Linked DNA regions of Mus musculus: regions 1 and 3 are each reported to be linked to region 2. Evidence: microRNA targets listed by miRTarBase, many of them from high-throughput screens and not tested one by one. Region 2 holds a microRNA gene; each other region holds the end of a gene's coding sequence.
The links. The annotated mature microRNA mmu-miR-3058-5p reads UCAGCCACGGCUUACCUGGAAGA and lies in region 2 at 1,053-1,075, opposite strand. An mRNA with a match to its seed (bases 2 to 7 or 8) in the 3' UTR can be bound and repressed. Matches are read on the target gene's strand: a 7mer-m8 pairs with bases 2 to 8, a 7mer-A1 pairs with bases 2 to 7 and ends in A, and an 8mer does both.

Region 1 (3,240 bases), not on the chromosome of region 2:
TCTCTCTCTCAGCTTGGAAGAGCCAATATGGGAGGAGCTCCGGGTAAGTAATGGGCATTTCCTCTTTGGATTTGCAGGAACAACAGAGAAGCATCTGGCAGGACACAGGTAAAACAGAAATCTAGGAAGCAGAGCTAAAGATCCCTCTTGGGTTTGGAGGAGCTCAAGGGGATGGTAGACTAACTAGCCTAATAAGATTGACACAGATAGAACGAGATTTCTTAAGAGCTGGCAGTTTAGGTGTACAATCAGGCTTGTAATAGGTATATCCCATATAGTTAGGAAAATAAAGTTTCCTCGCTGAGCTGGCAGGTTTATACCTCAGTTTATGCCTCCTGTGTCCTTATTGGTATAAACATTGCATAATTTAAATGGTTACAGGCTTATGAGCAGGACTTTGGTCTCCTGTAATACAGAGCCATCCACAATGCAGAGCAACATCAGGCCTATGGACAGGGCTTTAAGACAGACTATGGTGAATATGCATCCAGCATGCCCAAGTCAGGGCTGCAAGAAACAGGTTCACCCGATCTGGGAATAGAGATGAAGAGAGTTCAGGGAGTTAACTCCAGAACACAAGCTGTTAAAAGAGAAGATAATGGAGGAGTATAAATGTTTCAGAGGTGGGGGGAGCTGGAGAGATGGCTCAGTGATTAAGAGCACTGACTGCTCTTCCAGAGGTCCTGAGTTCAATTCTCAGCAACCACATGGTGGCACATAATCATCTATAATAGGATCTGATGCCCCCTTCTGGTGTGTCTAAAGACAGCAATGTACACACATAAAATAATAAATAAATCTTTTTTTGAAAAAAAAGTTTCAGGGGCCGGTACCCAAGTTACATAGGAGAGAAACATCGCTGTTCTTGAAGTGGGAACTTCTGGTTTCTGTGGAAAGTCAGTTCTGTCAAATGATGTTTTGCTGCAGCAGACACAGGTGAAAGGGTGTTTGCTAAAGTAGATATGAGAAAGGACACATGATATTTAGAAGAAATATAAATAAGTCCCAACAGACAGTAGACGAGGCTACATGGTATTGGTAAGCTTTACCATTACTTATTGGTCATCGTTGCTTGTGACTCCATAGAGAGAAATGCACCAAAAACCTTCTGGTGATGCTCTGGTGGATTCTTGCTGCTTCTGCAGCAGGATGATTGACAGAGTCAAGTGAAAGTCTCTGGATATGTGAGCTGATACAGACTCAAGTGGAGTTTTGCTAAGACAGACTTACGTGGTGTTTTCCTGAGGCAAGTCTCGTGGAAAGCAAGACTCCTGTGAGGACACGTTGATGTTTGGAGGGAGTATAATGGAACACAATGGAAAGTGATGGAGGGTTTGCATAGCTTGCTTTGCAATGCTACGTTGGTCTCAAGTCTTCATCTTCATTGACCTTCACTTTGTGGAGAGTCAGGGCAGAGAACCTCTCCTGGTCATTCCTGCTGACTCAGGCCGATTTCATGGAGGCCTGGCAGTTTCTGCTGGGTCATGCCACAGTCAATGGTTTGGGTTTGCTATCCTGACACTGCAGACCTGGACTGGTGGTATCCTGACAATTGGAGATTGAAATTGCCCCAAGAAACTACTTCTAAACAGCAAAGAGCTGAGCCTCTTGGCCGCTTCTGCTTTGAGCTGCTATTGCTGATTCTTGTGAACTGATATCCTGACAATGCAGATTGGATTTGCTTCAAAGAACCATTTCTAAACAGATGAACTAATCCGATATCCTTTTTTTTTCTCTACTTCTGGTGGGTGGTGGGCTATAAATGAGGTTAAGCATTTAAGAACCCTTATTAAAAATGAGTTTAGAAAAATCTAAGCCAATTATCTCACCTGAGGATGTGCACCTGGGAGTTTAACAAAAAAATCACATCCTACACCTGAGAACCCTGGAAGAGATACTGAAGAGAAGAAGGAGAAATCACCACAGTAGCATGGGACAGGGAGAGCCCAGGGCAGCTTCAACACAGCATCATTAGTAGCTAAAAGGGATGGGTGAGAGGAAATGGGTGAATTGTCTTGTACACCCAGCACATTAAAGGATCCCTAGTTGAGTCTCTGATCTTTAGCCCTAGGGGCTCATAATCCTGGGGACAGGGCAAGGCTCAGGCCCTCCCTGTGTCTTTGTGATCACAAACTCTCAGGATGTGCCTCAGAGTGATGGAGAGAACAGAGCCCAGAGGTGACACAGCCGAGGTGTGGCCCCATCACAGATCAAAATGGACTGAGCCCACCTGGGCACAGCCCTGTTCACACTCAGCTGCCACAGCCTCATCCTGTCCCAACAGATACACACAGCATAGTGACCCAGATTCTGGAAGTTCCTTCATCTGCCATTTATTTCTTCAAAAAAATCAATCAAACAAACAAAAAAACCTCTAAGCATTCTCAATCCATGAAATTAACAAGAAATCAGCCCTAGATCAAGATGTTAACAATCAAGGTCACTTTCAAATTATTTTTTAAAGACTTATTTATTATTATATGTAAGTACACTGTAGCTGTCTTCAGACACTGCAGAAGAGGGTGTTAGATCCCATTACAGATGGTTGTGAGCCACCATGTGGTTGCTGGGATTTGAACTCAGGACCTTTGGAAGAGCAGTCAGCGCTGAGCCATCTCTCCAGCCACCCACATTCAAATTATTATTCTCAGTGTGGAAGTGAGGAGCTGCAGCTCAGGGTAGCATGGAGCTTACAGGATGCAGATGTCCCCCAGTGTTTGGCTGGAGCAGCAAGGTTGGCTATGGAAGGGAACACAGGGCAGTGCAGGGATAGGGTCCTGGTGTGCAGGGCAGGCTGGGCTCCACAGTTCTTCACACTGAACCCAAGCTCACAGGGAACATCAGACAATGTTGTGTAAAGAGAACTGAGGGCTCTGGATGTCACAGGAGAGACCTGAACACATCGTCTGTCACTCAGTACAGTCCAGGCAGCTGTCTTCACGCTAGAGAATGAGAGTCATGAACCATCACTGTGAAGACAACATTCCAGCAACCCACCACTCACTCTCAGGAGATTCTGGGAGTCCCTGAAACCCAATCATGTCCACATTGCCCCTCCCCAATCAGACCCTAGAGTGTCACCTTTACAATCTCGGAGAGACATTTCAGAGCTCTGGGAGCCTAGGGTAAAACAAAACAAATGTATATGCATATGTACATGAATGTATTCACTTCATGGCACAACTCAGGCCCCTAGAAGATTTCTCTGGAGGAGCTATTATGGATTCCCAGAGCTCCCAT
Region 2 (3,257 bases):
CTGAGTGTAATCCCAGCACTGCAGAAAACAGAGGCGGCCTGGGCTATGGGGAAGATGCTATCAACAAGCAAGAAAAGGGCCCTGGCAAGATAGCTCAGTTAAGTGCACTGACTGCTCTTCCGGAGGTCCTGAGTTCAACTCCCAGCAACCACATGGTGGTTTATAACCATCTGTAATGGGATCTGGTGTCCTCTTCTGGTGTGTCTGAAGAGTGTGACAGTGTACTCATATAAATAATCTTAAGTTAAGAAAGAAAGAAAGAAAGAAAGAAAGAAAGAAAGAAAGAAAGAAAGGAAGATAGAAAGAAAGAAAGAAAGAAAGACCCACCTGACTTTGGGTAATGAGATGGCTCAGCTGGACAGGTCACTTGCTGACAAGCCAGAATACCTGAGGCTGGTACCCACATGGTAGAAGGAAGGAAAGAAAGGGATTCTACAAGTTGTCCGCTGACCTCCATAGCATCCTCTCCTGTCCATATACATATATGCAAGTAAGAATTTTGAAGAGGGGGACCGAACAGTTGGGTGAGAGAGCAGGAGTCACTGTTTCTCAGCAGGTGGGAGTTCATCTTCTGTTTCATTATACCTTTGTTTTAAACTCTAGGTTGGTGGGTAAATTAGACTATGAATAACTTCTGCACATGCAGACTCTAAAATCAAGTCAACGTGATTTATTTTGGGTGTGTGTGTGTCTGTGGTGAGCTGAGGAGGGCTGGGGGGCTGGGGAGGGGGCTGGGTGGCGGGGATGAAGCCATTTACCTAGTCACAACAGCAAACACTTCCTTGTAATTATACTGTCTTCAGAAACTGGACAGCTGACCCCAAGCTCCCTCCATGAACACTAAAGACTCTCCCCAGAGAAACCTATCAAAAAGTACTATTATTTAACACCCCAAAGCAGACAAATAGGATCTACTGGGTGTACAACACAGTCAACATGCTAGCTGATAAACACATGGTATTACTGAAGCAACGAATCAGAACCATCACAGAGCTCTTCCAGTAGCAAGAGGCACCCACGGCTGACAGGAAGAAAGCCAAGTAGACATTCAATCTTCCAGGTAAGCCGTGGCTGACTCCAACGCTGGAGAATTATCCCGAAATCACCCTCTGACAAATCATACAAATGGTAGCTAGACACATGCTCTTCCTAGAAGAAGCTGCTTCAGTGGTCTGAGAGGTTCTCCTTCAGGTCTGGGGGAGCCACAGTCACAGATGGGTGTACCTCACAATGTTCCTAAAAGGTGTGCCTCGAGCTGGGGGCGCAGCTCAGCGGTAGAGTGCCTGCTTGCCTAGCACACACAAGCTCTGACACAGGAAAGAAAACCCATGTGGTTATTGTAAGTGGTCTCCATTTGAATGCCTTATCTGTTCAGTGACTTAAATCTCTTGGTCAAACAGGCCAATACCTATGAACCGGGAGACTGCCAGAGGTTAAATGACAACTGATCCCCACCCCCTGTAAAGGCCGGCAGGGTTTATTTGTTTGTTTGGTTGGTTGGTTTTTTTTTTTTTTAATTGCATTAGGATTCCTGACTGGGGCCGATACTCTTCCCGGCTCTGGTTTTAGTTTTGCCTTTTAAGGAGCCTTCATTTTCACCATGCCTTACTTTTGCTGGATTTGGACTTTCCTAAGCTATCAAGCTCTACAGCAGGCTAGCCCAGAGGGAGGCTAGATGCTTCATTTGAACCACCGATCCAGATCCAAGACAGAACTGGTGTCCCTCTCAGATTTTTCGAGACATGGTTTCTCTGTGTAGCCCTGGCTGGCCTCGAACTCAGAGATCTGCCTGCCTCTGCCTCTTAAGTGCTGGGATTGAAGGCGCGCACGCCACCACTGCCTGGCTCGCTCTCAGACTGATTTGCTCATGCACCTGGATGCAACCCAGGATGGAGTTGCTTGATTCTATGTCCCACTTTGCTCTCAAATCCCTCAAAAGTCTAAAATTGAAATGTCCTTCCTGTCTTGCCTGGTGTGTGACCTCTGAGGTGCTGTTTTCCCTGGAGGCTTTGTGTGTGGTAGGCAAGCAAGCATTCCACCACTGAGCTATTCTCTACCCAAGGTTCTCACGTTTAAAAAAAAATCATTCCCCTTTCTCTGCCAACCCAAGCTGCTCTTGCAGACCACAGCCCCGAGCCATCCTCCTCTTCTATTTGGGGTGCTAGGTCCCTCCTTTCCCATTTACTGAAGTTCCAAGTGACACACACTGGGCTCCTAAACCAAAGCACACAGAGAAGAAAGCACTCCAGGCCTCCGTTGTTATTTCCCCCTGTTTCATCTAATCTTCCATACGACAGTGTATGTTCCTTGCCAGCTCAAACTATCTTTACATCCACTATTCAAATACATATGCAAATATATTCAACGAGAGCCATTTCTGGCTACCAACTCACCACGTCACCGTCTTTTCTTTGCCTATGGAGAGAGGAGCCCAGGATTGAACCCAGGCTCCTGTGTTCGAGGCAAGCTCTCGACCATGGTGCTATCTCCTTTAGCAACGCTTCCAGCAGAAACAATTTCCAAGCACACACACACACACACACACCAATCCACCTACCTGCTTAAAGTCATTTATGGACATATACCTGTGGGCTGGTCTGAAGGCTCAAAGCCACACTGAAGCTGACAGGCCTCCACAGGAAAAACTAGCCAGAGAGGCTGCTCAGATACACTGAAGACTTAAAAACACGGGGAGTCAAGTCCTGCTTGTTCTGTGACCTTGAGATATGTTACTTCTGTGCCCTAATTTATATGCCCTGTCACTCTGTAGACCAGGCTGGCCTTGAACTCAGAGATCAGACCCCCTTTGCCTCCCACATGCTGGTAGTTATGGCGTGCACCAGTATGAACCACTACTATAAGAAAAACCTGTTCGGGCTGGTGAGATGGCTCAGTGGGTAAGAGCACCCGACTGTTCTTCCGAAGGTCCAGAGTTCAAATCCCAGCAACCACATGGTGGCTCACAACCATCTGTAACAAGATCTGACTCCCTCTTCTGGAGTGTCTGAAGACAGCTACAGTGTACTTACATATAATAAATAAATAAATCTTAAAAAAAAAAAAAAAAAAAAAAAAAAAAAAGAAAAACCTGTTCTCAGTGGGCATCAAGGCTCTCGCCTATAATCCCGGCACTCAGGTGAGCCAGCCAATGGGGGCTCTCCGTAGCCTTTTAGGATCAGATGGTAATTAACTTTTTTTTTTTGAAGTTACCCTCATCTTTAAAAACATACATTTAAATGTTCTAACCAGGACCTACA
Region 3 (3,257 bases), not on the chromosome of region 2:
GGCAGCCAGGCTGCAAGACCATTTGCTATGATGTCTTCCGCCCTCTCTCTCCATTGCGCTTCTGGGCCTTCCAAGTCATTCTGATGGCTGTACCCAGTGCCATTTATGTGGCTTTCACTCTGTATCATGTGATTGGATACTGGGAGGTACCAGGAAAGGAAAACAAGGAGCAAGAGACCCAGATTAGCAAAGGGGATCATAGCAAGGATGTCTCAGGGGCTAAAAGCCTCAAGCTTCTCTGGGCCTATGTGGCACACCTTGGGGTACGGCTGGCCCTTGAGGGAGCAGCTCTAGGTGTTCAGTACAATCTGTATGGTTTCAAGATGTCCAGCACTTTTATATGTCGTGAGGATCCTTGTATTGGCAGCACAACCTGTTTCCAGTCTCACCCCTCTGAGAAGACCATCTTCCTCAACATCATGTTTGGGATCAGCGGGGCCTGTTTCTTATTTATTTTCTTGGAGCTTGCGCTTTTGGGTTTAGGGAGGTTTTGGAGGATATACAAGCACAAACTTTCCTTCTTAAAGAAGTTGCCAACTTCAGAGAGCTCTGTAAGATCCAAGGACACAACCGATGAATTGTCAGTGGTGGAGGCAAAAGAGCCATTTTGAGATGCAGGTGAGGACCCTACTGCCAATCATCTATCCCTGCCTCTGATCTCTCTGTGTTAGCAGTCCCCACTTAGAGTAGGCCCCTCATCCTTTGGGGTGTACAGTTCCCATGTTACAAAGTTTCTAAGCAGAGGCATTCTACTTTTACTTTGGTGTGTGTGTGTTTGTGTGTGTGTGTGTGTGTGTGTGTGTGTGTGTGTGTGAGAGAGAGAGAGAGAGAGAGAGAGAGAGAGAGAGAATATTCAGGTGCCGGTGGAGGCCAGAGAAGGTGGTAGATCTTTTGGAGCTGGAATTACAGGTAGCTGTCCAATGTGGGAACTGGGAAGCAAACTTTGGTTTCTTTGCACTCTAACCACTGGGACATCTCTCCAGAACCCAGATGTATTTTTTAAGGGATGAAATGTTTACTTTGGTTCACAGTTTGAGGGTACAGTCTCTCTTGGTGGAGAAGGCATTCATATATGTATATGAAACAGCTAGCCCTGACTGGCGTGAAATTTGCTATAGTAGATCAGGCTGGCTTTGAACTCATGGAGAACCATCTGCCTCTGGCTCTCAAGTTCTAAGATTAAAAGCAAGAGCCACCATGCTCTCAGTCTCATGGCTGAGGCATGTATTTGATTACTACCCCCAAACCGTTTCCCAATACCTATCCCTATCAGTTGCATGACTCCTTGTGGTAGACCCCGATAAGCACACTGGTTTGTGTATTGCCTGCTCTTTCATTTGGTAAAATCCTCAGCTTCTGCTTAATTTCTACTTTTCAGAGTTGTAAAGTTGCCTGGATTGCCTGCAGAAAACTCTGGGACTTGATCTTCAATACATCCAGTGAGGTGGCCGGGGAGATGGTACAGGGGTAAAGGTGCTTGCAGTCAAGCCTCATGATCTGAGATTGATCTCCAGAACCCACACGGAGAAGGGAGAAAACCAACTCCCACAAGTTGCCCACATACATGTCATGAAGAGTACACACACACACACACACACACACACACACACACACAAAGAATAAATAAAATAATAAAATCTCAGAAAACAAAACAAGACCTCCTACATCAATTAGCTGCCACTTCTAATTTTTCTTTCCTGTCTCTCCACTAAATATAAACAAAAAACAGGCTACTTTCTGTTCTAATGGATTATCTATCCTATTCTGGGATTGTATAGAGATGGAATCATACAGTATGCTTATTAATCACTTGTATATCTTTGTAGAAAAGACCAAGTTTTTTGCCAATTAAATTAGGTTATTTATTTTTGCCTTGTATAAACTATATAATTGTTAGATACCTATCAAGTGGCTCATTTCAAAACATTCTCTTCTATTCCATGGGTCATCTTCATTTTCTTCCTGAGTAGCATTTCTTTAAAATTATTTATTCTTTGATAATTTCCTACATGTATACAGTGTGTTTTGATCACGTCTACCCTATATCCCTGTATCACTGCTCTTGGATCTCCTGACATGTCCCTATCCTAATTTCTTGTCCTCTTCTTTTCTTTATAACCCACTGAGAACAAAAATCAGTGCTACTCAAAGTGTGAATTGGTGTGAAGCTATCTACCCGAACACAGTCAACCTACTCGATGCCACACCCAAAGAAGATGGAGTCTTCCTCTGCCAGCATTGATCAACTGCCAACAGTTCCTCAGTTGTGGGTAGTCCTTCTCTCATTCATCCTGTAATGCTGAGTGTCTTGAGCTTGTGCAGGCAACCACTGCTTCTGTGAGTTTATGAATGCAAGTTCCTGCTGTGTTCATAAGATGTTGTTTCATAGCAGATCTCCCAGAGCACTGGATCTTTACATTTTTCTTTCCCATTTCTCCATCTTCTCTAATGTTCCCTTGAGCTTTGGGGGGCAAGGATGTGCTGTCGATGTCTCATTTGAGACTGAATATTACATGGACACCTGTTTCTGCATTTACAAATTGTAAGTCTGTATATTGGCCACTGTTCACTGTAAAAAGAAAAAGTCTGTGGTCAGTGTTGAAAACTGACCTAATCTATGAGTTTCGAGAATCATTTAGAAGACAGTTTGATACTATGTCAATTTAGCAAACTAATAGTGACTTTTCTGTAGGGCTTTTGAGCTCCGCAGGATGGGTTCTTGGCCAGATTTGTAGTACCAGGCATGGGGTTTCTCTTGTGGAGTGAATCCTCAATCGAATCAGAAAGCAGTTGGTTACTCCTGTACCAGCTACACCACTGTTTCACCCATGCATGTGTCTTGTGAGGCTGGTTGTTGGAACTCATCAGATTCATACATGAGAAAGAGTTTTGATGACTAGGAAGGCTACCCAGCATAGAGTTGGCAATATTTTTTGATGTACAAAACTTTACATTTTTTTCCCAATTCTTTTTTGAGACAGGGTTTCTCTGTGTAGCCCTGGCTGTCCTGGAACTCACTCTGTAGACCAGGCTGGCCTCGAACTCAGAAATCTGCCTGCCTCTACCTCCCGAGTGCTGGGATTAAAGGCGTGCGCCACCACGCCCAGCATTTTCCCCAATTTTTTATTAGGTATTTTCTTCATTTGCATTTCAAATGCTATCTAGAAAGTCCCCTATACCCTCCCCCCGCGCCCTGCTCCCCGCTCCCCTACCCACCCACTCCCATTTCTTGGCCCTGGCGTTCCCCTGTACTGGGG

Region 1: miRTarBase lists H2-D1 as a target of mmu-miR-3058-5p. Seed matches in the 3' UTR shown: 7mer-m8 at 2,621-2,627.
Region 3: miRTarBase lists Gjc3 as a target of mmu-miR-3058-5p. The part of its 3' UTR that is shown has no 7-base or 8-base seed match.

Annotation. Positions count from the first base shown.
Region 1 is chr17:35,266,568-35,269,807 of GRCm38, reverse strand. H2-D1 (histocompatibility 2, D region locus 1) reads right to left here. Exons shown (of 8, transcript NM_010380.3): 7 at 3,082-3,120; 8 at 2,311-2,942. The coding sequence ends at 2,938. Among named protein-coding and RNA genes, the nearest start is that of H2-D1, 5.1 kb to the right of the region's middle.
Region 2 is chr10:95,558,234-95,561,490 of GRCm38, forward strand. Mir3058 (microRNA 3058) reads right to left here and starts at 1,088; the gene lies at 998-1,088. The region is part of intron 1 of Nudt4 (nudix (nucleoside diphosphate linked moiety X)-type motif 4); the gene reads right to left.
Region 3 is chr5:137,954,566-137,957,822 of GRCm38, reverse strand. Gjc3 (gap junction protein, gamma 3) reads left to right here. Exons shown (of 3, transcript NM_080450.5): 2 at 1-618; 3 at 1,379-3,257. The coding sequence ends at 611. Among named protein-coding and RNA genes, the nearest start is that of Gjc3, 6.9 kb to the left of the region's middle.